Linked DNA regions of Macaca mulatta. The protein of the gene in region 2 binds, or shares a complex with, the protein of the main gene of each other region. Links are inferred from orthologs where the notes say so. Each region holds a gene or a part of one and is shown on either strand. Other genes may lie near its edges. The genes, in order: LSM7, SNRPD1, DHX16, GPKOW, SCNM1, CWC27 and SNIP1.

What was found.
Region 1: SNRPD1 (region 2) and LSM7 share a complex: the UniProt entries of both Homo sapiens proteins name them as parts of the U4/U6-U5 tri-snRNP complex. The link is inferred for Macaca mulatta from reciprocal best matches to the Homo sapiens genes SNRPD1 and LSM7.
Region 3: SNRPD1 (region 2) and DHX16 share a complex: the UniProt entries of both Homo sapiens proteins name them as parts of the minor spliceosome. The link is inferred for Macaca mulatta from reciprocal best matches to the Homo sapiens genes SNRPD1 and DHX16.
Region 4: SNRPD1 (region 2) and GPKOW share a complex: the UniProt entries of both Homo sapiens proteins name them as parts of the minor spliceosome. The link is inferred for Macaca mulatta from reciprocal best matches to the Homo sapiens genes SNRPD1 and GPKOW.
Region 5: SNRPD1 (region 2) and SCNM1 share a complex: the UniProt entries of both Homo sapiens proteins name them as parts of the minor spliceosome. The link is inferred for Macaca mulatta from reciprocal best matches to the Homo sapiens genes SNRPD1 and SCNM1.
Region 6: SNRPD1 (region 2) and CWC27 share a complex: the UniProt entries of both Homo sapiens proteins name them as parts of the minor spliceosome. The link is inferred for Macaca mulatta from reciprocal best matches to the Homo sapiens genes SNRPD1 and CWC27.
Region 7: SNRPD1 (region 2) and SNIP1 share a complex: the UniProt entries of both Homo sapiens proteins name them as parts of the minor spliceosome. The link is inferred for Macaca mulatta from reciprocal best matches to the Homo sapiens genes SNRPD1 and SNIP1.

What each region holds. Positions count from the first base shown.
Region 1 is NC_133424.1:3,071,154-3,075,358, reverse strand, and holds the end of LSM7 (U6 snRNA-associated Sm-like protein LSm7), read left to right. Parts: intron 1-180; exon of another isoform or gene 181-339; intron 340-743; coding exon 744-815; intron 816-3,413; coding exon 3,414-3,556; 3' UTR 3,557-3,705; downstream 3,706-4,205. UniProt on the Homo sapiens protein: Plays a role in pre-mRNA splicing as component of the U4/U6-U5 tri-snRNP complex that is involved in spliceosome assembly, and as component of the precatalytic spliceosome (spliceosome B complex).
Region 2 is NC_133423.1:70,797,268-70,801,465, forward strand, and holds the start of SNRPD1 (small nuclear ribonucleoprotein Sm D1), read right to left. Parts: upstream 2,801-4,198; 5' UTR 2,693-2,800; coding exon 2,679-2,692; intron 1-2,678. UniProt on the Homo sapiens protein: Plays a role in pre-mRNA splicing as a core component of the spliceosomal U1, U2, U4 and U5 small nuclear ribonucleoproteins (snRNPs), the building blocks of the spliceosome.
Region 3 is NC_133409.1:152,384,635-152,388,134, reverse strand, and holds part of DHX16 (pre-mRNA-splicing factor ATP-dependent RNA helicase DHX16), read right to left. Parts: coding exon 3,485-3,500; intron 3,316-3,484; coding exon 3,200-3,315; intron 739-3,199; coding exon 528-738; intron 331-527; coding exon 232-330; intron 121-231; coding exon 1-120. UniProt on the Homo sapiens protein: Required for pre-mRNA splicing as a component of the spliceosome. Contributes to pre-mRNA splicing after spliceosome formation and prior to the first transesterification reaction.
Region 4 is NC_133426.1:49,204,849-49,208,985, forward strand, and holds the start of GPKOW (G-patch domain and KOW motifs-containing protein), read right to left. Parts: upstream 2,801-4,137; 5' UTR 2,789-2,800; coding exon 2,613-2,788; intron 1,848-2,612; coding exon 1,693-1,847; intron 1,594-1,692; coding exon 1,469-1,593; intron 1-1,468. UniProt on the Homo sapiens protein: RNA-binding protein involved in pre-mRNA splicing. As a component of the minor spliceosome, involved in the splicing of U12-type introns in pre-mRNAs.
Region 5 is NC_133406.1:115,922,672-115,926,655, reverse strand, and holds the start of SCNM1 (sodium channel modifier 1), read left to right. Parts: upstream 1-1,184; 5' UTR 1,185-1,298; coding exon 1,299-1,349; exon of another isoform or gene 1,350-1,398; intron 1,399-1,623; coding exon 1,624-1,694; intron 1,695-2,050; coding exon 2,051-2,139; intron 2,140-2,236; coding exon 2,237-2,334; intron 2,335-2,441; coding exon 2,442-2,530; intron 2,531-3,563; coding exon 3,564-3,758; intron 3,759-3,984. Other genes in the region: LYSMD1 (lysM and putative peptidoglycan-binding domain-containing protein 1), read right to left, coding at 225-404. UniProt on the Homo sapiens protein: As a component of the minor spliceosome, involved in the splicing of U12-type introns in pre-mRNAs. Plays a role in the regulation of primary cilia length and Hedgehog signaling.
Region 6 is NC_133411.1:72,852,601-72,856,100, reverse strand, and holds part of CWC27 (spliceosome-associated protein CWC27 homolog), read right to left. Parts: intron 3,176-3,500; coding exon 3,096-3,175; intron 2,145-3,095; coding exon 2,111-2,144; intron 1-2,110. UniProt on the Homo sapiens protein: As part of the spliceosome, plays a role in pre-mRNA splicing. Probable inactive PPIase with no peptidyl-prolyl cis-trans isomerase activity. As a component of the minor spliceosome, involved in the splicing of U12-type introns in pre-mRNAs.
Region 7 is NC_133406.1:203,258,086-203,261,585, reverse strand, and holds part of SNIP1 (smad nuclear-interacting protein 1), read right to left. Parts: coding exon 3,032-3,500; intron 878-3,031; coding exon 613-877; 3' UTR 1-612. UniProt on the Homo sapiens protein: Required for pre-mRNA splicing as component of the spliceosome. As a component of the minor spliceosome, involved in the splicing of U12-type introns in pre-mRNAs. Down-regulates NF-kappa-B signaling by competing with RELA for CREBBP/EP300 binding.

The DNA.
Region 1 (4,205 bases), on a different chromosome or scaffold from region 2:
CTGTCCCAGCAGAGCACTCCGTCTCCCCTAGAGGAAGCCCTGTCCCCATCAGCTGTCACTGCCTGTCGCCTCTCCGGCACCCACACATCCCCTCCCTGTCTCTGTGGATTGGCCTGTCCTGGACCTTTCATAGAAACGGGATCACACGCTGCGCGGCCTTCTGTGGCTGGCGTCTCTCACCGAGCGTGGCGTCCTCAGGCGCGTCCTCAGGCACATCCGCACCGCGGCCTGCGCCAGCCTCGCTCCTCTTCCCGGCTGGTGGTTCCACCGCATGCATGTGCCGCGGCCTGTTTTGCTACTGTTTTGGAGCGGAGAATTGTTTTTATGACTTTTAAATATCTGGAAAGGGATCAAAAGAAGACTGTCTCATGATGTGGAAGTGATACGAAATTCCCGTTTCAGTGCCTGTGTGTCGAGCTGACTGGCCACGGTTCAGCCACACGTGGACTCATCACCGAAGCTGCTTCCACCCAGGCAGCCCGAGCCAGCAGCTGTGACCGGCACCCTGTGGCCCACACGGCCAGAAGTGTTTGTCCTCTAGCCCCCCGCAGACACAGTCGGCTGCCCATGGTGGGGGTCACTCTGGAGGCGCCTGTCACCAGCCCCTCCCGGGAGCCCTCCCCCACCCTCAGTCCTCCATCCCTGAAGCAGTGAGCCCCATGCCTGGGCCACGCTGGGGCAGGCCGTGTACCCAAGATGGATCTCATGCCTTCTCATTTCTCTCCCCCGGTGATTTCTCCAAGCCAGTGGAATCCTGAAGGGCTTCGACCCACTCCTCAACCTTGTGCTGGACGGCACCATTGAGTACATGCGAGGTGAGTGGGGCGGTGGCTGAGGCGGGCAGCGGGATGAGGAGGGCAGTGGGGTGAGGGGGCAGCAGGGCAAGGGAGGCGGCCATGGAGCTGCCTGCTGCCTCTTCCTCCCTGAAACCCACAAAACCTCACTCTGAGGCACCAACGTGAAGCCTTGTGTTGGCCGATGGACGGGCTGAGCGCTCACCGGTCCTGGACGTCCTCACAAAGCTGGAAACTCCATTGTTGTGGGGCCTGGAGAGACGGGGAAGCTTCCCCACTGGTCTCTACATACTGACAGGGCACTTAAAATGCTCGCAGCACAGTTAGAGGACAGGCTTTTTAAATGTTGTATTATTTCAGTTTTTGTTAAACTGGTGTCGCGAGGGGCCGGGCACGGTGGCTCACACCTGTAATCCCAGCTGCTCGGGAGGCTGAGGCAGGAGAATCGCTTGAACCCGGGAGGCGGAAGCTGCAGTGAGCCAAGATGGTGCAACTGCACTCCAGCCTGAGAAACAGAGTAAGACTCCGTCTCCAAAAAAAAGAGATAAGCTGAGGTCTCACTGTGTTGCCCAGGCTGGTCTCAAACTCCTGGGCTCACGCCATCCCCCTGCTTCAGCCTCCCAAAGTGCTGGGGTTCCAGGTGTGAGCTGTGGCACCCAGCCGAGAGCAGCCTTGCTGTGGGAGAGCGAGCGTGCTGTGGGACCCCTCTCGGGCCCCTCTCCTCTTCTGCCTTGTTAATCCCCACTATGAACGCAGGGCCCCCATCCCCTCCCCAGAGAACACTCCCTCATTTCCCTGCCCCTGCTCGCTCTCCTCCCCAGTGAGGCCGCCAGGTCCTCAGACTCTCCCCGCTAGAAGATCCTGCTGCAAGTCCCCAGCCCGGCCCAGGCATCGGGGGGAGGCCAGGACTTAGAAAGAGACAGTCTTACCCCTCGGACCCATTGATACTGACACAAGATTTATTCTTGGAGCTGGCCACGGTGGCTCATGCCTGTAATCCCTGCACTTTGGGAGGCCGGGACAGGAGGATCACTTGAGCCCAGGAATTTGAGACCAACCTGGGCAACATACTGGGACCCTGTCTCTACAAAAAAACAAAAAAAAAATGAATTAGCCAGGCATGACGGTGCATGTGCCTATGGCCCCAGCTACTCGGGAGGCGAAGGCAGGAGGATTGCTTGAGCCCAGGAGGTTGGGGCTGTGAGCTGGGATGACGCTACTGCACTCCAGCCTGAGGGACAGAGCAAGACCTGGTCTCTAAAACAAAAATGTTAAAAACCTGGGCCCCGTGGTTCTCCCATGCCCCCACCAGCACACGACCACAGTAGTGAGGAGTTTTCATTGCCGTCAGCCTCTTCAGAGCTTGTCTTGGGCTTGCTGGTACTTCCCTGGGGTGCCAGCCCACATGATCCCCACGTGGGTCCCACCCACATGAACAGCCTCTTTTTTTTTTTTTTTTTTTTTTGAGACAGTATCTCACTGTCACCAGGCTGGAGTGCAGTGGCGCCATCTCAGCTCACTGTAATCTCCGCCTCCCGGGTTCAAGCGATTCTCCTGCCTCAGCCTCCCGAGTAGATGGACTACAGGCGCCTGCCACCACACTCAGCTAATTTGTTGTATTTTTAGTAGAGGCCAAGTTTCACCATGTTGGCCAGGATGGTCTCAATTTCTTGACCTCGTGATCTGCCCACCTCAGCCTCTCAAAGTGCTGGGATTATAGGCGTGAGCCACTGCACCCAGCCCAGCCGCTTTTTTTTTTTTTTTCTTTCTGAGACGGAGTCTAGCTCTGTCGCCCAGGCTGGAGTGCAGTGGCCGGATCTCAGCTCACTGCAAGCTCCGCCTCCTGGGTTTACACCATTCTCCTGCCTCAGCCTCCCGAGTAACTGGGACTACAGGCTCCCGCCACCTCGCCTGGGTGTTTTTTTGTATTTTTTAGTAGAGATGGGGTTTCACCGTGTTAGCCAGGATGGTCTCAATCTCCTGACCTCGTGATCCGCCCGTCTCGGCCTCCCAAAGTGCTGGGATTACAGGCTTGAGCCACTGCGCCCGGCCAATTTTTTTGTATTTTTAGTAGAGATGGGGTTTCACCGTGTTAGCCAGGATGGTCTTGAATCTCCTGACCTCGTGACCTACCCGCCTCGGCCTCCCAAAGTGCTGGGATTACAGGCGTGAGCCACCGCACCCAGGCCCCAGCCTCTTATAGGGTGAAAATTGGCCCCCTAGGGTTCCAGGAACCCTGCAGAGACCAGGAGGCCCGGGGTGCCTGTATTCTGGCTGGCCATCTGATAACCTGGTCCCCAGCCCTGGTGCCTGGGCTCCAGTGAGCTCCAAGACCCAGGGTAGCCGGCTGTCGCTCAGGCCTCCCTGTTCCTGTGGTTTGTGGAGTGAGGGCAGGCTGTGGCTGCTGTCTGTGGAGCTGTCGCTGGTCTCTAGGGGCTGTGGGTCTGAGCCATGGGAGCCGGGGACCTGCCCCGCAGAGTGCACCCCCTCTGGGGTCCCCACATGCTCATGGCACCCGCAGGGTGCAGGTGGGGAGGGCGGAGCGAGGGTCTTGTGTCGGTGGGAATTCTCAGAGGCCTCCTGGAGCTCCCTCAGCCCTCTCTGTCTGCTCCTTCCCAGACCCTGACGACCAGTACAAGCTCACGGAGGACACCCGGCAGCTAGGCCTCGTGGTGTGCCGGGGCACGTCTGTGGTGCTGATCTGCCCGCAGGACGGCATGGAGGCCATCCCCAACCCCTTCATCCAGCAGCAGGACGCGTAGCCGGGCCAGGGCTGCAGGACAGGCCGGAGCAGCTTGGTTCCCCACAGACTTGGCCGCCGTTCCCACCACGGTGCCACCTGCTGGAACGGAAGTGCTTTCCTTTTTGTATAGGTTGAATTTTTGTTTTCTTAATAAAACTGCAAACCTCATTGTGTTTGAGCCCCAGAATCTTGCTTTTCCCTTGACCTTCTGAGGAAACCTGTATTCTTGGAGATTGGACTCAGACCCTGGAGCTCATCAAATACCAGCCATGGTCCTTCCTGGGGGTGAGGGTTCACAGGTGACCAAGGCAGGTACAGGCAAGGCCGGGACAGGCGAGTCAGGAGCCTCAGTCCGATGAGGGGCTTGTGGAACCCCAGGCCAACCCCTGAGACAGCAGGAGCCGGGTGCATCAGGAGGGTGGGTGCATCAGGAGGGTGGGTGCATCAGGAGGGTGGGTGCATCAGGAGGGTGGGTGCATCAGGAGGGTGGGTGCATCAGGAGGGTGGGTGCATCAGGAGGGTGGGGTGCATCAGGAGGGTGGGGTGCATCAGGAGGGTGGGTGCATCAGGAGGGTGGGTGCATCAGGAGGGTGGGTGCATCAGGAGGGTGGGGTGTATCAGGAGGGTGGGTGCATCAGGAGGGTGGGGTGTATCAGGAGGGTGGGGTG
Region 2 (4,198 bases):
TCAACTTATTTTCAGACGAATCTTTCAGTATCTGAATTCTTTCTACTTAGTGAAACTTAGATATCAAATAGTCAGATAACACGGTGTCCCTCAGTATCAAAACACACTATCTGAACCCAAAAAACAAACAGGAAAATGTGGGACACTTTTATGCAGTAGGTAAAACTGGCAGTGTATCAAATGTCAAGGACATCAGTAGAGAAAAAGTCAAGCTCACCTCCCAGGTTTTTGGTTAGGGTGACAGTGAGAATAAGGATGACAACTACCAACTGATATACAGAAATAAGTCTACTGAAAACGCAAACCAGTTAGTCAAACAATCATTTTCTGGAGGAAAAATACATTCTCTGGTAAGAAAAAAATTTTCTTTCTATATTTGACCTAAGACACAAAACAGGATTCAGTCCAGGTATTAAAAATTACTGGAAAATTGCCATAACATGCAATATATTTAAAGGGAACAAATGAAATCCAAGGTGTATTACATAAAATTGAACTATGAGTAGATTAAGATTCAGATTAGCAGGTATGGAGAAATTTCTTTTTTTTTTTTTTTTTTTTTTTTTTTGAGACGGAGTCTTGCTCTGAAGCCCAGGCTGGAGTGCAGTGGCCGGATCTCAGCTCACTGCAAGCTCCGCCTCCCAGGTTCACGCCATTCTCCTGCCTCAGCCTCCGGAGTAGCTGGGACTACAGGCGCCCGCCACCTCGCCCGGCTAGTTTTTTGTATTTTTAGTAGAAACGGGGTTTCACCGCGTTAGCCAGGATGGTCTCGATCTCCTGACCTCGTGATCCGCCCGTCTCGGCCTCCCAAAGTGCTGGGATTACAGGCTTGAGCCACCGCGCCCGGCTGGTATGGAGAAATTTCAAAAAATGTTGTAATTTTCTTTTTTGAGACAGAGTCTCGCTCTGTTGCCCAGGCTGGAGCACAGTGGTGTGACGTCGGCTCACTACAACCTCCCGGGATCAAGCGCCTCTCTTACCTCAGCCTCCTGAGTAGCTGGGATTACAGGCGCCCGGCTAATTTTTGTATTTTTTCGAAAGACGGGGTTTCACCACGTTGGCCAGGCAGGTCCTGAACTCCTGACTTCAGGCGATCCGCCTGCCTCAGCTTCCCAAAGTGCTGGGATTACAGGCGTGAGCCACCGCGTCCAGCCTAAAAAATGCACTTTAAATTCTATGACTTCCTATCCAAAATTATAGTTCAAATAAAAATACAACAAAAATTAATCTTAATTGTCTTTTGTACCAACTCCTCCCTGAATTTTTTATTTTTTATTTTTTTATTTTTGCAACGGAGTCTCGCTCTGTTGCCCAGGCTGGAGCGTAGTGGCCAATCTCAGCTCACTGCAACCTCTGCCTCCTGGGTTCAAGCGATTCTCCTGCCTTAGCCTCCTCAGTAGCTGGGATTACAAGCGCGCGCCACCACGCCCGGCCAATTTTTGTAATTTTAGTAGAGACGGGGTTTCACCATGTTGGTCAGGCTGGTCTCGAACTCCTGACCTAGTGATCTGCCCGCCTTGACATCCCAAAGTGCTGGGATTATAGGCGTGAGCCACTGCGCCTGGCCTCCTCCCTGAATATTGAAGGCTTTTATGTGTTATTTAAAACGTTTCAAACAAACGTTATTTCAGACGTTATCTACTTGTCTGTCATCCCCCTAACTAGAAAGCTCCAACAAGGATCTGCCTTTTAAAAAATACTATTACCAGCGCCCAGTAGGTAACAGGTGCCCAATAACTATTTAGCGGATAATGACAATCCTTGACTCAACAGGAAAGAAACAAGCTAAATATTTATAATCGATGGCTTAGTTATTAGAAACGTCTGCCTCTGTTCCAGGCTCAGTCTCAAGGAAAAAGACCAAAACCAAATCTACTCGCAGGTAGTTTGGAATTAGTCTCCAGAAGACTCACCTAAGTGACAGGGTCTATTTCTCGCGAAAGAAATAAAACAGAATAACTATATATCATCTGGGTAATCAGCCACAATTACGTTGTGATAATTTCTGCCCTATATTGGGAGATTTTCCTAAATAAAAAGCTTACCTTAACAGGAAAGAGGTAGAATAATCAATCATAAGTCTAAGGAGAATCAAAAGATAAACTTAAAAATCGGCCGGGCGCAGTGGCTCACACCGGTAATCTCAGCCCTTTGGGAGGGCAAGGCAGGCAGAACGCTTTAGCCCAGGAGTTCGAGACCAGCCTGGTCAACAAAGTGAGACACCGTCTTATTTAAAACAAAAACAAAAACAAAAACTTGTGAAGCCAGAAGTCCTTCTCTGATTTAAAACAGTTTGCAAACAGGTTTGTTTCCAGATAAGCTCATACAGCTTTCTAAGTACTCTTAAGTAGGGCTGGAGCTCCACTCAAAAAGAAAATCAGTAACTGTAAGGGCGAGATGTCTCCCAGGCGGCGCTGTACCTTGAAAGTCTCTAAGTCACTAGGCGGGAAGAAAAGGCTCGGCCTTTATACCAGTATCTTGGAAGACACGCGGGATTCGCGAGCGACCCAGGCGGAAGCCCAGGCCCGAGCACGAGCTGCGGGCGCAGTAAGGCCGGCCGTTAGCAGGCCGCGCACACGCGGCTTTCCCGCCTCCTGCAAATGGGAGAGCCCAGCCTTCCGGACTCCGGGCCAAGCCCTCCCTCCACAGCCCCCGGAGCTGCTTGGTCACTCCCTCACCTCACGAGCTTCATCCTAGCGGCGCCGTCACCCTTCGGGTCCGAGAGCGCACAGAATCCAACAACCGAATACTGACCGACTGCAGTATGAATGGCCGGAAGCGCCTACTCCAGGGACTCCGGTCGTAAAGGGCGCGCGGAGCACAGCAGACGCACGGCGGAAACGCCGAGGCTGCGCTGGGCCGCACTCTCTTCCGGTCGCGAGGAGCGCGACTGCGGCCCCTGGCGGCTGGAGGTTGCCTTGCCACGACTGAGGGTGTTGAGGGCTGGTCTAAGAGGAAAAGTGTCCCACAAGAGAGGGAGATTCGAAGAGATTAAATCCAATTAATAGGACTGTCGCACTTTGGGAGGCCGAAGCGGGGGTATCACCTGAGGTCAGGAGTTCAAGACCAGCCTGGCCAATAGGGTGAAACCCGCGTCTGTACTAAAAATACAAAAAATTAGCCGGATGTGGTGGCGGGCGCCTGTTATCCCAGCTACTCGGGAGGCTGAGGCAGGAGAATCGCTTGAACCCGGGAGGCAGAGGTTGCAGTAAGCCGAGATCGCACCACTACACTCCTGCCTGGGCAACAAGAGCGAAACTCCGTCGCGCGCGCGCGCGCGCACACACACACACGTACTGTCACCATCACGTTTCTGAATAGCAGGGCACCGTGAGTGCAGCACCTAATATAAATTCCTCACTGAACGAAAATAAGTTCTTAGAGAAGCCCAAAGGATTATGCTAATTCTGTTCCAACGCCAGGAACCTTAGCATTACTTAATGTACCTGAAGCAATTCACACAATGGGCCGGGCGCTGTGGCTGACGCCTGTAATTCCAGCACTTTGGGAGTCCGAGGCGGGCAGATAGCGAGGTCGAGAAATCAAGACCGTGCTGGCCAACATGGTGAAACCCTGTCTCTACTAAAAATACAAAAATTAGCTGGGCGTGGTGGCACACGCCTGTAGTCCCAGTTACTCGGGAGGCTGAGGCAGGAGAATCGCTTGAACCCAGGAGGCGGAGGTTGCGGTGAGCCGAGATCGCGCCACTGCACTCCAGCCTGGCAACAGAGCGAGACTCCGTCTCAAAAAATAATAAAAATAAAAAAATAAAATCACACAATGTAGCGGATTATTTTCACTTTAAGTTCCGATCTATAAGACAAACTTTTCAATCTTCATCTTTCACAACATCTCCTCAAAATTTTTTATTGTTTTTCTGAGACAGAGTCTCCTTCTGTCGCCCAGGCTGGAGTGCAGTAGCACGATCTTGGCTCACTGCAACCCTTGCCTCCCCGGTTCAAGCGATTCTCGTGCCTCAGCCTCTCCAGTAACTGAGATTACAGGGGGGAATCACCACGCCCCGCTAATTATTGTCTTTTTAGTAGAGACAGGGTTTCCCCATGTTGGCCAGGATGACCTGAACTCCTGACCTCAAGTGATCTGCCTCTCTAGGCCTCCCAAAGTGCAAAGTGCTAGGATTACAGGTGTGAACTTCATCAAGATTTAACACAAACACTCCCCTTACCTCTTTCAGGTT
Region 3 (3,500 bases), on a different chromosome or scaffold from region 2:
GCGGGCCTGCATGTCAGAGGGCAGGTTGGCATAAATGGGCAGCACCAGGAGCTCCCGGATTTTGGAGCCCAGGCGGCGGCAGCGATCCTGGAGCATCTCACAGGCAGCCTCAATCTCCTCCTGGATAGAGGGCGGGGAGAGCAGCAGGGATCCCAGAGTCACAGAAGGCCAACATGCCGGCCCCGTCTTCCCCTGAGATACACCCTCCCCTCTCCCAACCATGTCAGGCACCTGTCCTGTCAGGAACACCAGGATATCCCCAGGGGGCTGGGTCACGTGGATCTGCAACACAGATACAACACAAGCTTCCAAGTAGTCAGCCTCTGGAGCCTGGAGAGCAGAAAGAGATGGGGTCACAGGAGGGCCACCTGCTTAGGCAAACCTTTCCTCTCCTCCCAGTTCAACATATACTTTATCCTAGTTCCCCTTTGGACCTTCCACTCCATCTTTCCCTCCTTGGGATAACTTTCTCCAAAGGCCTCAGCTTTTCTGCCACAGACTTAAGCCCATCCTCCCTGAGGTAGCACCTTGGTGTAGAAGATGTCCACAGGAAACCTGCGTCCGGGGATTCGAAACACAGGGGCGTCATCAAAGAAGGTGGAGAAACGGGCAGTGTCCAGTGTGGCTGAAGCCACCAGGACCTTGAGCTCAGGTCGGAAGCGAGCAACATCCTTGATCAATCCAAAGAGAATGTCTGTGTGTAGGGTCCGTTCGTGAGCCTCATCCACCATCACCACACTGGGGAGGGAATAGGGCAGCAATGAGGGAGGAGCGCTGGGCAATGCAGTATCAGACACCAGGGTTCCCTGGACGAGAGGGGAGTGATGGACACAAAGAGCTCAAGAATGACTGTTGACGGAGGGGGCTCTAAGGAGAACTCAGCCATCCCAGTTATGTAAGACCAACAGAAAGTCAGAGACGGCCAGGGACCCATGATCTGCAACCTATCCCAGCCTCAGCAGACAATAGAAGCCAAGATGTAGAGGCTGCACTGAGGCCAGGACAAGTCAGACATACTCTCTAGTTCAGTCAAGAGTCTGCTTAGACTCAGTAGCTGCTCTTACTAGAAAAAGTTGAACGAGGCTGGGCGCGGTGGCTCAAGCCTGTAATCCCAGCACTTTGGGAGGCTGAGACGGGTGGATCACGAGGTCAGGAGATCGAGACCATCCTGGCTAATACGGTGAAACCCCGTCTCTACTAAAAATACAAAAAACTAGCTGGGCGAGGTGGCGGGCACCTGTAGTCCCAGCTACTCGGGAGGCTGAGGCAGGAGAATGGCGTAAACCCGGGAAGCGGAGCTTGCAGTGAGCTGAGATCCGGCCACTGCACTCCAGCCTGGGCGACAGAGCGAGACTCCGTCTCAAAAAAAAAAAAAAAAAAAAGAAAAAGAAAAAAAAGAAAAAGAAAAAAAAAAAAAAAGAAAAAGTTGAAGGATATGCTTTAGGCTGGGCACGGTGGCTCACACCTGTAATCCCAGCACTTTGGGAGGCCAAGGCAGGCAGATCACGAGGTCAGGAGTTTGAGATCAGCCTGGCCAATATGGCGAAACCCTGTCTCTTCTAAAAATACAAAAAAAAATTAGCCAGGTGTGGTGGCGCACACCTATAGTCCCAGCTACTCAGGAGGCTGAGGCAGGAGAATCGCTTGAACCCGGGAGGCAGAGGTTGCAGTGAGCCAAGATTGAGCCACTGCACTCCAGCCTGGGTGACAGAGCGACACTCTATGTAAAAAAGAGGCCAGGTGCGGTGGTTCACGCCTGTAATCCCAGCACTTCGGGAGGCCGAGAAGGGTGGATCACGAGGTCAGGATATTGAGACCATCCTGGCCAACACGGTGAAACCCCGTCTCTACTTAAAAAAAAAAAAATTAGCCGGGCGTGGTGGCGGGCGCCTGTAGTTCCAGCTGCTTGGGAGGCTGAGGCAGAAGAATGGCATGAACCTGGGAGGTGGAGCTTGCAGTGAGCCGAGATTATACCACTGCACTCCAGTCTGGGTGACACAGCGAGACCTGCCAAGAAGGATTCTTCTTTTGCAGAGAGGAGCAAGTTAAGCCTTTCTACCCCAACTCTCAGAGGACTCTGCATGCTCCCTGGTTTCCTCCTAACTCAGTTATGTGCATGACACCTTCTTTCTCTTTGCTTTATTTTTTGGCTTTTCTGGGTGGCAGCCAAGTCCCAGGAACTCATCCTCATCTTCCCCTACCCACCTCTCTGACCTCAACTCTTTGTCCCTAACCCTAACTGTGATGGTGAAGCCCCCAGTCATTCCACAAAGCAGGCTGGCTCGATGGGCAAAAATATCTGCATCAGGCCCTCTTGCACTGGCTGGCTCCCCATGGGTTCTCAGAGATTTTTTGCAAGGGATATGAAGGATAAAATCCTATCTGTCCAATCACTCCACTGTGATCTTCCAGGGCCAGAAATTCACAGCCTCTGAAGAGTCAAAAGGGCACATATTGTTCAGCTGGCCTGACCCCAACCCCAGCACATTCATGAATCCCTTTTCCCCCTCAACACATGTTCAACCAACCTCTGCTTGGCCATTTCCAGCACTAAGAGCTCATTATTCACAGACCAAGCTACCCAAGACTTGTGTGGAGGGCCAAGATCCAGAGTCCAACCACTGTGACAGGCCCTGCAATCTCCAACACTCTGAGGGTTACTCAGCCGTCGGTATTGAGTTGGAATCTGTCTCCCTGTAACCTCCCCATGGCTCCTAGCTATATCCTGTAGGGTTACATAAACCAAGTCTCATCCTTCTTTCCATGTCACAGCCTTCACATATTTAGAGGGAACCAGGATGCCTCTCCTGCTTCTCCCTCTGAGCTGAGCATTCCAGGTGTTTTCAAATGGTCTCCACATGGCATTTCAAGCCTCCGCAGCAATGCTATGCTATCCTGGTTGTTTCCTAACCCTGGAGATGAATGGGGAAAGAAGAAGAGGCTTTCTCTACAATCTCTTCTATCCTCCAGCCCCATCTCAGTGGTACCTGGAGGTCAGTTCAAGGACCGTTTGAACCATAACGATATAAGAACTGGTGGATTAATCAGAAGACAATGGCTGAATTGGCTGGGTGGCAAGAAATGAGAGAAAAGCCAGAGATTAGAGATCCAGGAGAGAACTGAGTGGGAGGGAGGCGGCAGCACAGGGGGAAGAGAATGTGGGCAGCTCTCTCATGGGAGATGAGGGCCCTGTATGTACCTGTAACTCGCAAGGTCAGGCTCAGAGAGGAACTCCCGGAGAAGCATCCCATCTGTCATGTAGCGGAGGACAGTTCGCTCTGACGTGCAGTCCTCAAAGCGGATGCTGTAGCCAACCTGGTCAAGGGAAATCATTAGCAACCAAGTGTTGGATGGTGTGCCCTGAAAGGAACCTGGGGAAAGGTGAAGTGGGGCAGCACCAAGACTTCTGCCGTAGGGACCTGAGGGCAGTGTAGACTGAGTCACAGACCCCAGTCTCTACCCCCCAGTTCCCTAGAAATCTCACCTCATTCCCAAGCTTC
Region 4 (4,137 bases), on a different chromosome or scaffold from region 2:
CCACCTCAGCCTCCCAAAGTGTTGGGATTACAGGCTTGGCCGACTCCAAGGTTTTTATGCTGAGTGAGAGGAAGGATGGATGGAATTTTTGGTCACCTGATATGTATAAAGCTGCAGGAGGAGGTTTATAGAGGGAAAAATTAGAGGAATGAGGTTAAAGCTGGAACAGGATGAAAGGATGAAGAGGGAAGTGAGGATCTTTTTTTTCTTTAAAGATGAAGGAGCTGGGCACAGTGGATCATGCCTGTAATCCCAGCGCTCTGGGAGGCCAAGGTGGGTAGATCACCTGAAGTCAGGAGTTCAAGACCAGCCTGACCAACGTGGCGAAACCTCGTTTCTACTAAAAATACAAAAACTAGCCAGGCGGTAGTGACACGTGTCTGTAATCCCAGCTACTTGGGAGGCTAAGGCAGGAGAATCGCTTGATCCCGGGAGCGGGAGGTTGCAGTGAGCCGAGATCGTACCACTTCACTCTAGCCTGGGCCACAGGGCAAGACTCTGTCTCAAAAAACAAAAAACAAACAAAAAAAAAAAAATTGAAGGAAATCAGAGCACATCTGAAGGCTGAAGAGAACAGTTCAGTTGAAAGAGAGTGTTCTGGGGCTGTAGGAGAACTAGACTCCAAAGAAGCAATGTAAGAAATTTATGAAAGAAGAGGTGAAAAGTCAGGTCTGTGGGTATGAAAGACAGACTTGGTTACTCCTGTAGACACGCCTCTCACATCTCCTCGTCACCTTCCATCATCACTCCTTCCCATTCACTCCAGACACACCACATGTTGCCTCACTGATGGACACACACCACATCGATTTTCTGCCACTATGCCATTGCTTGGGCTGTTACTACCAACAGGAACACTCACTCTGTTCTTCCCTCTCACTAAACCCTACTTATCCTTCCAGACCACTCTGGTCTAAGTCCCCAGCATCTCTAGCCTGGACTACTCATCCCCTTGCTTCCACCTTCACTAATGAGTCTGTTCACAGCAGCCAGAGGGATGCTGTCAAATCATAAATCATATTTCATCTATGCTCAGGGCTTGCCTAGGCTCTCATCCCACTCAGAGTAAAAGCCAAAGTCCTCACAATGGCCTACAAGGCCCTGCCTTGTCTAGCACCCCCATCTCCTTTCTGACTTCGTCTACTATCCCTTCCCCTCACTCATTCCACTTCAGTCACACTAGTCTCTTTGGTGTTCCGCAAACACTCTAGGCAGTGTCTACCTTCAGGGCCTTTACATTTCCTGTTCCCTTTGCTGCACACCTCATTCAGATAATCCTAGGATTCAAGTACGTTTTTAGCATCCAGATATCCAGATTCATTTGGTAATGCTTCCAAAAAGGATGACAGGAGAAAGGACAGGTGGCGGGCCTCTAGCACACAGACTTTCCCTGCTATGTGCAGGGACACAGCCTAGCAGACAGGGCAAAGAAAGGCTGGGGCAGGAGGGGGACAAGGGGCCAGCTCACTGTCTCTGCCCGGGGTTCGCTGTCTGCCCCTTCCCCGCTGGGGGTGCATCCTTTCTGGATCATGGGGATAGCGAGCGTGGGGTCGACACCCGCATTCTCTCTCTCTTCCAGAGACTTCTTGGATTCTAAGGGAAGAATAGGAGGGAGCAATGAAGTCCCACTCTATCCTTCCACCTTCTTCATCTTCTTCCTTCACTGGGGAAGGGTAAAGGGGCATCACTCACCCTCAATGAGCTCCTTCACAGCCTGGGACAGCACCCCATCTGCCAAGGCCTCAGTATCTGTGGATGGCCCAGGGGGCCGGGCTGGTGACTGCCTGCGATGGCCATTCTGGATCAAAGGGATGACGAGTTCCTTGGGGGCTTCCTGGGGCTTCACACTGATGTGGACACAGAGGGGTGGGGTTGGGAGAATGGCAGTGTCAGTGGGTCACACTCCTTTATTCAGAGAAAACACGAGAGCCAAACTCACCCCAGCCCCACAGACCATGCCTTCTCTACTCCATGTCTGGATCTCCTGTACCTCTCTGATCGTGCATTCTTTGGATTATCCCCCCCAGTGCCCCCAACTCGTAAATGTCAGTGCCTTCGAGAAATAAGTCCTGGACTCTCTGTTTAACTCAAGACCGGCTTCCACAATGGCCCACAAATCACTATCTTCAGCCTAGACCCTCCCTAGCTCCAGGTTCCCAAACAGCTTCCCAGATGCCTGATTCTCTTCTGGAAATCCCTCCCTCAGACTCTCCTCTCCTCATTAAGCTGATGGTGGCCTCCATCAACCTGAATCTGCCGCTCCATCCCGTTCCCCATATCAGAGAAGCCCCACCACTTCAGCTGAGACACTAGCAGGTCCTGTCATTTTCTCATTCTTTCCTTCTCCCAGAACGCACACACCTCAGTGTCCTCAAGTCCTAAAGACACTTCTTCTCAGTGATACATCCTCTCTTCGCAATTCCCACGGCTATCAGGCCCAATTTCCCCACCCCTCTTATAAACTCCAGCCTTCTGGCCTTCACGAATTTACTCAGGCTGTGCTTCAGGCTTAACAGGTCACTGTCACCAAGACAAACGACTGAGTGAGGTTCCTCCCTCCCGCTTACGCCCACCGCAGCGATTTCCAAGGTGTGAAAGACCCGGCGCGTCACCTCTGCAGCTCCCTCCCTTCCACGGTTTTCAAGAAATCCTTCTCCTCCGGAGATGGCCTCGCGCCGTCTCCCGAGTCGGCCAGCCGCCTCCGTGCGGACGTGCGAGTGAAGCCGAATGAAATTGGGGCAGTGGAAGCAGCCGTCAGCGGCAAAACACCCTCTTCGGAGTCAGCCATCTTGCCACTTTTCCCAGGCCTGCGCGCTGCTTGCTGGGAAATTTAGTTTGGGTTCAGATCGCTAGGGGCCGGCCAAAGTGCGTAAAAACTACCTTCCCATCAACCACTGTGGCACCGGCGGGAGGGGGCGGTAAGGGGCCGTGGGAAGTAATTGTCGCTCTTTCAAACGTCGTGGGAGTGCGTCGCGCCAAGTGCACAGGGAAATGTAGTTTTTTTTGTTTTGTTTTGTTTTTGTTTCTTTTTTTTTTTTAAGATGGAGTCTTGCTCTGTTGCCCAGGCTGGAGTGCAGTGGCGTGATCTCGGCTCACTGCAACCTCTGCCTCCCGGGTTCAAGCGCTTCTCCTGCTGCAGCCTCCCGAGTAGCTGAGGCTACAGGCATGCGCCACCACGCCCGGCTAATTTTTGTATTTTTAGTAGAGACGGGTTTCACCGTGTTAGCCAGGATAGTCTCCATCTCCTGACCTCGTGATCCGCCTGCCTCGGCCTCCCACAGTGCTGGGACTACAGGCGTAAGCCACCACGCCCGGCCGGAAATGTAGTTTTTAGCGAGGTAGGCATGGTGGAAGGTGGATTCATTCTTGCCAGGCATTGATTCCTTCGTGTAGGCGTTTGACAAGTATTTATGGAGCGCCTACTGTGTGCCCTACTCATGTGGGAAGTGTTGATGAAGTAAATCATTTAGAAATAATCAGCCAGGTGTGGTGGCGTGCACCTGTAGTTTCATTTAGCCCACAGGCTGAGGCAGGAGGATGGCCTGAGGCCCAGGAGTTCGAGGCTGCACTTAGCTCCTATCGCGCCACTGCATTCCAGCATGAGTGACAGAGCGATACCCCGTCTCTAAAAAAGAAAAAGTCAGGGTCGGGGGCGGGGGAAGGAGTGTCAGTTGTCTACAATAGTAAATAATAGACATAAAGTGCCTACTGGCCAGGCGTGGTAGCTCATGCCTGTAATCCTAGCATTTTGGGAGGCCTAGGCTGGTGGATCACCTGAGGTCAGGACTTTGAGACCAGCCTGACTCATATGGTGAAACCCTGTCTCTACTAAAAATACAAAAATTAGCCGGGCTGGTGGTGGCACCTGTAGTCCCAGCTACTCAGGAGGCTGAGACAGGAGGATTGCTTGAACCCGGGAGGCAGAGTTTGCAGTAAGCCGAGATCCCGCCACTGCACTCCAACCTGGGCGACAGAGCGAGACTCTGTCTTAAAAAAGAAAAAGAAAGAAAGAAAGAAAGAAAGAAATAGTGCCTACTGACCAGGCTCATACCTGTAATCCCAGCACGTTTGGAGGCTGAGGCAGGCGGATCACTTGTGAGGTCAGTAGTCCGAGACCAGCCTGGCCAACATGGTGAA
Region 5 (3,984 bases), on a different chromosome or scaffold from region 2:
CTGGCATGATAAAATAGGAGCTGTTCCTCTCCATTGGAATAGTAGAGCAGAACTTGTCCCAACCACGCAGTGCAACACTGTGATGGGAAAACAAAGATAAAAGCAGAACAGAGTTCAACACATTAGGAACATTTCAGGGGAGGTTACCTAGAAGGTCCACTACATTCTTCTCAGGACTAAATCCCTCCTGACTCTTGTCTGCACCCCAATCCTGGAAAACTCACCGTCACCCCATATTTGAGTGCTAGTCCAGCCAGGGTGTCTCCGGGCTCCAAATGATGCTCCAGGCGTCTTTCCCTCACTGGGGAGCAGGCCGATTGCACCAGGCTTCCATATGAACGAGCCCGGCTCCCGTGAAGCAGTCCTGACCCCCCTGGCGGGGGCTGTCTAGACGGGGAAGCCATCTCTTCACCCTGCCGACAGCTAGGTTGCAACTAGGGGAGGCCCGACCGAGACTGCGAATGACAGGCCTGAAGTCTGGGAATAGATATTCAGGGGATTCCTTTCCCCTTCTCTCTTCCCCTGTGTCCCCGCCTCCCCAGCACTACGCCACCTGCCCCCTCCCGGTTTCTCCTCCCTCCAAGTCCTTATCCACAAATCTGTCCCTTGAGTATTCAGTCCCTCCCTGATTCGCCCCTAAGCACCCCTCCGACTTTGAACTCCCCCACAACTCCTCGCTACATTGACCTCTGACCTTTGAACTCTAGAAATAATCCTCAACACTCTTTCCTCAGTTTGCCCCCAAGTAGTCTGGCCTCAGGGCGCTCCCACATCCCAGCTCTGCCCGGTCCCGGGGTTTGTTTGCTAGAGCCAGGAACAAATCAGGCCCACCCCAGGTGAACTGTCGCCGCAGACGAAGAGCGTGAGGATTGCGAGAATTTGTAGTACACCTTCCACTCAGAGATCCTCAAAGGTCCGCTCCGCATCAGATAGGTCACACCCTCAAATTTCGGCTCCACATCTAGGTTCTTGTCCCTCTAAACGCCTCAGATCCACCAAGATGCAAGGGCCTGGATCCAGCTGAGCGGCAAGGTCTTTGAGGAAAAGACTTCATTTCCCAAAAGGCGTCGCGTCTGCGGAGTCGCACGGCACCATAGGAAATGCAGTTCCCTCCACGCGCCAGAGAGTGGATATCCGGATGGCGCAATGCATGCGTGGAAGTGCATTCCCGGAAGTACGGGGGCCGACAGGAAGACAAAGAGAAAAGAGAAGGCGCTGTCCCGCTCTTGCTACGGTGGCCTAGAGGAGTGGCGAAACCGGAACAAGAAAATTTATCACTTCTGGGACTCACAGTCGTGATGTCTTTCAAGAGGGAAGGAGACGATTGGAGTCAACTCAATGTGCTCAAAGTAAGCGTGAGCGGAGAGGATCTGCAGCCTCTTCAGTCGCTCTCTGAAGGTTGGGAAGGAGCTTTGTTTCATTGCTCTGGCAACAACTCGGGGGTGCAGGAGAGAACCAGGCGACTTAGAGCTGTGTAGTGACTCCTTTTTCGGTCTATGATCGCTGTTCTCCCCAGGGTCCTTATGTCCTTATTCCGTTTGACTCCTCATTTCTATCATTTAACTTCCATCCCTCTCTCCTATCCTGCTGATCCGTCCGGATTTCTTCCCCTACTCCCTGCAGAAAAGAAGAGTCGGGGACCTCCTCGCCAGTTACATCCCAGAGGATGAGGCGCTGATGCTTCGGGATGGACGGTAAGAGCGAGGAGTGGCTCAAGCCTGAGGGTTTTGCGGTTAGAGGCTCAATAGCTGTGTTGCCCAGGCTGTCCTTGAACTCTAGGGCTCAAGTGATCCTGCCTTCTCAGCGTCGCGATTAGCTGGGATTACAGGCGCACGCCACCACGCCCGGCTTCAACAAACTTTTGTTATTAATTAGGACAGCAGAAGTATCTAGGATTCTTTGGCGGCTAGTGAGGACTGGAAGAAGTGGAGATTGGGTCACCAGGGAGTTGGGTTTTGCAAAGACTGCTAGGACAGGGTGGGACTTACGGCAGGGACAGGCCCAACCCTCTTCCCCTGGACCAGTTATCCTCTTCTCTACCCCTGCTCAGCTTTGCTTGTGCCATCTGCCCCCATCGACCGGTACTGGACACCCTGGCCATGCTGACTGCCCACCGTGCAGGCAAGAAACATCTGTCCAGTAAGTTCGGGGGAAGACAGGGGATGGGGAATAAATCGAAATCTCTGCACACCAGCCTTGGTGCTATGCTTTTAATTCTGTTTCCCTTTCTCTTCAGGCTTGCAGCTTTTCTATGGCAAGAAGCAGCCGGGAAAGGAAAGGAAGCAGAATCCAAGACATCAGAATGAATTGAGGAGGGAAGAAACCAAAGCTGAGGTAATCAGAGAGTGGAGAGTGTGTTCTAGGCAAGACCCTGCTGCACACACCAGGCTGGAAGGGCAGAGGGCTGAAGGCTCTGACTCTGTCTCCCATCTTCTTACCAGGCTCCTCTGCTAACCCAGACACGACTTATCACCCAGAGTGCTCTGCACAGAGCTCCCCACTATAACAGTTGCTGCCGCCGGAAGTACAGGTATGGGAGGGGAAAGCCAGAGGTAGGAAGGCTCGGAAGGAGATAGAGGGCTCTGAAAGTGTTTTCCAGTCTGTATTCTGAGGAATACTAGCGTTCTGGAGATGTTACTTAGTGTTTCAAGAAAAGGAGAATTTTGGCCGGGCACGGTGGCTCACACCGGTAATCCCAGCACTTTTGGAGGCTTAGGCGGTGGATCACTTGAGATCAGGAGTTCAAGACCAGCCTGGCCAACATGGTGAAACCCCGTCTCTACCAAAAATATAAAAAATTAGCTGGGTGTGTGGTGTGTGCCTGTAATCCCAGCCACTCAAGAGGCCGAGGTGGAAGAATTGCTTGAATCCGGGAGGCAGAGGTTGCTGTGAGCCAGGATCATACCACTTCACTCCAGCCTAGGTGACAGAGTGAGACTCCATCTCAAAAGAAAAAGAAAAGGAGAATTTTGTGATTTTTAAATAAAGTTTGGGAAATGGCACTTTGTAATTCTACTTGAAGAGTAACAGTTTTAGGCCGGGCGCAGTGGCTCAAGCCTGTAATCCCAGCACTTTGGGAGGCCGAGACGGGTGGATCGCGAGGTCAGAAGATCGAGACCATCCTGGCTAACACGGTGAAACCCCGTCTCTACTAAAAAATACAAAAAACTAGCCGGGTGAGGTGGCGGGCGCCTGTATCCCAGCTACTCGGGAGGCTGAGGCAGGAGAATGGCGTAAACCCGGGAGGCGGAGCTTGCAGTGAGCTGAGATCTGGCCACTGCACCCCAGCCTGGGTGACAGAGCAAGACTCCATCTCAGAAAAAAAAAAAAAAAAAAAAGAGTAACAGTTTTAAAAGCTATACAAAGTCTTAAGAATTAAAAAAAAAACTTGTAAAATTTAAAGCTAGCCTTTCCCAAATTCATGATTCTAAAATCCTTTGTATGCAGAACTTACTAATATCTTGAAAAATATAGTTTAAGAAACACTGTTTTAAGAGGTTGGGAGTCATAGGAGAGTTGGCCCTTTCCCTTACTGCTTTTACAGACTATTCTTCTCTACCTAGACCAGAAGCCCCTGGTCCCTCTGTCTCCCTTTCTCCTGTGCCACCCTCAGAGGTCGAACTCCAAAGCGGGAAGATCAGTAGGGAACCTGAACCTGGGGCTGGCCCACAGGCCGAGGAGTCAGCAACTGTCTCAGCCCCTGCACCCATGAGCCCCACAAGAAGACGAGCCCTGGACCATTATCTCACCCTTCGAAGGTGAGTGTGCCTAATCAGTTTCCTCAGATTTTCTTTTCTCTCTGACCCTTCTTGTTTCAAAGCTTTTTTTTTTTTTTTTTTTTTTTTTTTTGAGACGGAGTCTCGCTCTGTCACCAGGCTGGAGTGCAGTGGTGTGATCTCATCTCAGCTCACTGCAACCTCCGCCTCCCAGGTTCAAGCGATTCCCCTGCCTCAACCTCTCGAGTAGCTGGGATTACAAGCATGT
Region 6 (3,500 bases), on a different chromosome or scaffold from region 2:
ACTCCATGAGGGCTAAAATTCTGGCCTGTTTTGCTTACTGTTGTATCTTCAACTCCTAGAATGGTACCCAGCATTAACAGAGGGAGGAATGAAGGGAAGAAAGAGGGGAGAGAAGAAGGAAGAAATAACCCCAAGTAGATCATTTTTATTTCGTGATTCTTTCTTTGATCTGGTGAGTCGTAGTGAAAGCAGGATTCTTAATTTGAGACTTGTGGACCCCTAAAGCAGTGGTCCTCAAAGTCTGGTCTTTAGATGGTATTACATAGTTGTTTATTAACACCTGAAATTCTAGTCCTCATTGCAGACTTATTGAACCAAAATCTCTGGGGGCAGAAATTATGAATGTTTTCAACAAGATGTTTAAGCACTAAAAGTTGACAACCACCAACCTAGGCCTTCCATGCTCAGGCCTCAGGAGATCTGAAAAAAATTCCCGGCAAATTCATATAATTTTGGTTGTGAATGTAGGATATTTTCCTGGGAAAGGATCTACAGTTTTAGTCACCCACCCATGATATTAAGAGCAAATTTATACTTTTACATTCTATCCTATACATTGATCCTATCTTCTAGACCCATATTATGTTACACAGATGTCTCCAAATTACTTCAATCTTGAAATGTATAAAATTAAGCTCATTACTTTTCATCCTTCTCTCCATCTCAACCCTATGCTTTCTTTTGTACCCATCTAACAAGTTGCCCAAACCAGAGACCTTGTGGTTGTCTTGGACTACTCCTCCCTCACCTCATAGTATGGAATCAGTCACCTCCTAGACCTCTTTCAAATCTACCTCTTTCCCATCTCACAGCTGTGGTCTTATATCAAGCTCTCCTCCTGCAATAGCTTCCCAGTGGCTGTCCTTGACATCAGTCTGTTTCCTCTAATTTGTCCTCTATAATATCACCAACGGTGATCTTCCTGAAATGCAAAATTGATCACAGCATCCTTCTTTTTAACAAACACCCTTCAACTGTTCCTCACTTCCTTTTGAGAAAAAATTCAAACTCCTCACCACGGCCTATGAAGCTCTGTAATGAAGCTCTGGCCTGTCACCACATCCTGTTCACGTTGGCCTGCTTGCAGCTCTTAGAACACACCAAACTCTCCTGCTTCGGACTATTTTGTATATGCAGTTCCCCTTACCTTCAATAATCTTCTTCCTTGCTCTTCACAAGACAGACTCCTTGAAACTTTAAATCTCTGTTTGTATTTCCTAAATAAGGTATAATCTCTCCTTATTTCCATGCTTTAGTATATGCTGTTCTCTGAGCTAGAGGGACCCTACCCTTCACCACTTTCTTTTCTGACTTATCTAACTCCTAACTCTCATGTAAGACATAAACACCATCATCTCTTCCAGGAAGGTTTTCTTGACAAGGTCAGATATTCATCCTCTCTCTATCTCCTACTGATAGCCAGAGAGAGCCTTCTCTTTTGACTGTGATAATAGATAAATCTGTGTTCATGCATGGAAAGTTATGTACTTCCTAGTAAATTATATAATGCACAGATTAATGGATTTTTATATACAAAGTGGCATATGTATAATTTGCAAAACTTGACTCTTATGTATTAAAGGAAAATCTTCCTTCTGTTTTGTTAGCTTTATTACCCAACACAACTAACAAAGATCACTACAGTCTTGAATGAGAATCTTTTGAAATGTGTATATAAAAAGGGGACACTACTATAAATGACTGATCAAAGCATTTCCCATGTATCATGTAGGATGCCCACACACCAACACTTAAACTTTTAACACAATAAAATTATAACATCTCAAGTTTGAGTATTAATGTAATGTTATGTGAAGGGGAGAAAAAAACAGACTAGAAATTCATATATAAGATTCTAATGTTGTAGAGAGATATATAAACACACTCACGCACACCCCTAGAGTAAGGAAATATTCTAATACCTAAATGGATAATTTCTATTTTTCATATTTTTCCAAAATTTGACATATATAACTATAAAAGTTATACATTATACTATACTATAAAAAGTAATGCACATTACTTTTTAAGAACAAAATTAAGTCTTTGTAAAAATTTTGTACTTTCTATGAATTGTTCAAACTATATTTATACCAAAATAAATACTTACATCATCTAAATCTCCCGCTGCATCACCTTTTTCACTATAAAAAAATAAGCAAAACAAATTTTAGTTTCAAGGTAAAACTAATACAATTATTTTGTAAACCAAAAATCTAGAATAGTTTGCTGGGAATAACATTCCAAAAATGTATTTCAACATAGGAATTTAAGAAGGGCATTATAGAACAGATGGAAACACTCTTTATAAGTGGAACAAGTATGATTCATTAGCAAATATATGCGTTCACTAGAATTTGAAAGAAAAAAAGCAAACAACAACCAACAGTGCTATTTTTATGAACAATGGTCTGCAAAGAACAATTTCTTCTATTGGCTTGAAGTATTCTCGCTAAAAAACCCCAAATCCTTCAAATAAAAGGATATTAAGAAAAGATTGTCCTAAAACAGGAGTTTCAAAAATGAGCTAAACTGAGTACAACAGCATTGTAGTGCCCCTTGAGATAATGGCCCAGTTTATCTTGTGCAATCACATCTAACACCAAGACATCTTCCCTTCTCAAAGAGAAGAACAAAGGTAGCAAGACAACTTTCTGTTAACTCCTCAAAGTATGTGAGAATTTACAGTCAGCGGACTGGCCCCCACACTGGTAATTTCTTCACAAAAACCTTCAACTTGAATTTGTTCATTCATGATACAATTAAGGCAAACATGCTTCAAGAAAAACAGCAAAACAACCTTGAATTAAACATTAAACTGTTAAAGCAAACAGTTTCCAGTCCTAACACGTAATGGTAAAACAATCTTAAATGTAACTTACTCAACAGAGGTAGAGAGCAAGTGCAAAAGTGACTAGAGTGTTTCTCTCTATCAAGCTTGAAGTTCTCTATCTCTGTTATCAAAATGCGTTATTTTTTTGGTTGGTTTTGAAATTTTTGATTTATGAGTACTGACTGTTTACTCACAGAGGAAGCAAGAAAATTATCTGACCCAGAAAATTAAGAACTTAGGATCACACCAACAATGGACTAACCTTTCTACAACTGGAACAGAACTGAGATGTGGATCATCCTTAAGCAAGTCATGACTACTTTTGCTTTTGCCCTTCATGCTCTGGAAAGAATGTACAATATAATCATGAGGGGGGAAATAAACAGTATTCCTAAATGACGAGTTAACAAATTTACATAAAACCTAGCAATGATATAATATGGTTAGCAAAAGACGTATCCCTGAAAGGTTCAATACAAACTAAAGTTTTATAAGTAAGAATCTTACTCTTCTATTGACTGAAAATAGTATTTTAAAAACATCTTTTCTTTAAAAAATATCATTAAAAAGAAGTCTGCTGAATTACCAACTTGAAGCACTAAATTCTCATCATAATTTGTATGCAATGAAACTAGTTCATTTTTATGACCCCTATAACTTAGAAGCT
Region 7 (3,500 bases), on a different chromosome or scaffold from region 2:
TAAAGCATCTGTTTAAGTTAAACAGTCAATAACGTTTACTGACTGCAGTACATTCCCACCCCCAAAAGACTAAGTGCAAAATCAACTTCTAAGCTCAAGAGCTCAACCAGGTCAAAGCTTTGGTATATACTGGAGGTTGTTTTGGTGATAACCAAAGCCTAGTAAGATTCTCTGCTCAGGGGTTCACCCCAAAAGAAAAACACCTGGTCCACAAAGCTTAATACCTATATAAATAAAGTTAACTGTACAAAGAGAACAAGCCATGATTTACCCTTAACCAAGGGTTTATAGTTTCCTAGGCAGCAGTTCTGAAAGCACCAACTAAAACCACAACGCTTCTACTAAAACACGGTGTGTTGTAATTGGTGAGACTGTTCCGAAAACAAATGCCTGCAGGCATGTGGCCAAGGTGCCACAGAAAAAGTTTAACAAACATTAGTCAGTGTATTCAAATGGTAACACAATCTGGTCAGCAACAGGGGAAAGACTTAAGGCAGTAAGAGGCATTACAGAGAGCATGATAGTGTTGGACCCACCACCATAGTGCTCTCTGAGTCAATCAAAGCCTTCCAACAAGGAAAACGTGTCTCAATAGTTTGGGTTCTTAGTTTGTTAGCTGTCAGATACTTCCTCCTCCTCCTCCTCATCCTCATCATCTTTCCTGTCTATTTCCGAAGTGTCCGACGACTCATGGAGCAAGACATATTCTCTGCTACTGAATCCAAATTTGAGTACATCCTTTTCTTTTAGTTCATAGTATCTCTGTGGCTCAATACGTTTGTTGTTTAAGAAGGTTCCATTGCCTGAGCCAAGGTCAATGATGTAGGGCTTCACTCTTCGGCCAACCGTGCCATCAGCACGGGTATATTCCACAAGCCTAGCAGAGAAAAAGGAGAAACCTATGAGCAAACTTCTGCCTCAGATCATCCATCCTCTCTGAAGCTCTTTGCTAAGACAGCCTAGATGATGTAAATAACCTGACTTGAGCATAATTCAAGTTAAAATTCTAGGGAATCAAAGAAATCAAGGGGAAAGCATGGCCCTGGGAAGGGAAATTGGAAGTTTAAATATATTTAGTAGAAAAGGTGAGAATGGGTTACTGGAGGGTGGGGAGAATCCATGGAAGATCAAAAGGTGGAAATGCAGAATCCAAAGTCTCTTGCTGTGGTTAAGAAAATACATTTTTTTCTGTTGTTTATAATCAATGTTTCTTTAACCTATATTTCAATATATTTCAGTTCCTGTCCAAATGGGAAAAAACAGTGGACCTGGACTTCAGAGTCAAGGGAGCTATATTTGAGCCAGAGTTCTACTATGGCAGGAGTCCCCAGCTCCTGGACCATGGACTGGTACTAGTCCGTGGCCTGTTAGGAACCAGGCCGCACAGCAAGAGGTGAGCAGTGGGCAGACAGGCAAGCAAGCCAAACTTCATCTGTATTTTCAGCTGCTCCCCATCACTCGTATTATTATTGCCTGAGCTCCGCCTCCTGTCAGATCAGCGGTGCCATTAGTCTCATAGGAGCGTGAACCCTATTGTGAACTGTGCACAAGTGGGATCTAGGTTGCGTGCTCCTTAGGAGAATCTAATGCCTGATCTGTCGCTGTCTCCCATCACCCCCAGATGAGACCATCGAGTTGCAGGAAAACAAGCTCAGGGCTTCCACTGATTCTAGATTATGGTGAGTTGTATAATTATTACATTATATATTACAATGAGATAATATTAGAAAATAGGCCGGGCGCGGTGGCTCACGCCTGTAATCCCAGCACTTTGGGAGGCCGAGGCGGGCGGATCACAAGGTCAGGAGATCGAGACCACGGTGAAACCCCGTCTCTACTAAAAATACAAAAAATTAGCCGGGCGCGGTTGTGGGCGCCTGTAGTCCCAGCTACTCGGGAGGCTGAGGCAGGAGAATGGCGTGAACCCGGGAGGCGGAGCTTGCAGTGAGCCGAGATCGCGCCACTGCACTCCAGCCTGGGCGACAGAGCGAGACTCCGTCTCAAAAAAAAAAAAAAAAAAAAAAAAAGAAAATAAAGTGCACAATAAATGTAATGCACTTGAATCCTGAAACCATGTCCCTGGTTCCATGGAAAAACTGTCTTCCATGAAACCGGTCCTTGGTGCCAAAAAGGCTGGGGACCACTGTACTATAGTGATCATTTGTTAGGCAAGTCACTTGGTTTTGCTGGGCTTCAGTTTTCTCATCTGTCAAATGGGGATATAAATACTTGTCCATTCAAAGTCAGGAGACCATGTTAAAACAAAACAAAACAACAACCAACAACAACAACAAAAAATGGGCCAGGCGCAGTGGCTCACACCTATAATCTCAGCAATTTGGAAGGCCGAGGCGGGTGGATCACGAGGTCAGGAGTTCGACACCAGACTGACCAATACAATGAAACCCTGTCTCTACTAAAAATACAAAAATTCCCTGGGTGTGGCAGCGTGCGCCTGTATTCCTAGCTGCTCGGTAGCCTGAGGCAGGCGAATCGCTTGAACGCAGGAGGCAGAGGTTGCAGTGAGCTGAGATCACGCCACTGCACTCCAGCCTGGGCACAGAAGGAGACTCCGTCTCACAAAAACAAAAAACCAAAAACCGGTCCTATCCTTCTCACAGGATTGTTGTGAGAATCATCACAGATGTCCCACGCAAGCTATCAAGAACCAGTTTCAAAATTAGTAGAGCACAGAGGCACATGCCTATGGTCCCAGTTACTCAGGAGGCCAAGGTGGGAGACAATCATTTGAGCCCAAGAGGTTGCTGGAGTGAGCTGTCTTTGCTCCACTGCACTCTAGACTGGGTGACCGAGTGAGACCTTGTCACAAAAAAACAAAAAATAGATTAAAAGTATAATGTTCTTATAAATATGTAAACAATTATTTAAAGGGAAGTTAGATTAACAATACTCTTTAGATATGAGGGGTATGGGATTCTTCTGTATATGTATGAACAAAAATCTTAGTAATCCTAACTAACTGAGCAATTGTTTCTGCTCACATTAGAGTTTCTTCCTCCATGTTACTTACCGATATTGAAAGACCGCATGCTGCTTTGAACAAGATGGGTGATCGATAGGAATGTCTGCAATGCGGCGGTGTCGACCCAGTAGATACGCACTCTGTCGATGTATGTACATGACTGGAAGCACCTCATCATTTTTAAATGGGTAGAGACGCCACCGTTTTTTTGGAATACGTGCTTCTGGGGGCTCACTATATTTAATGACTACACCCCGGAAAGTGTTGGTGTCCTCAAGAAGTGCCCCAGAAAGTTCATAGCTTGGTTTTTCTTTAGCAGGCACCTCTTTTTCTTTGTTGTTGCCACCAGGCCGAGGAACCAACTCCTGAGACTCACTACCGCCACCACCAATGTCATTCCTCTGGCGATGCTCCCGTCGCCTGGCATTATAAAACTCCCGCTCTTCTTCCTGAGCCTGCAGGTTCTGAGTGTCTCGCTCCCGTCCCTGACCCTGCCCACTCCCAGGTCTCTCGTTAG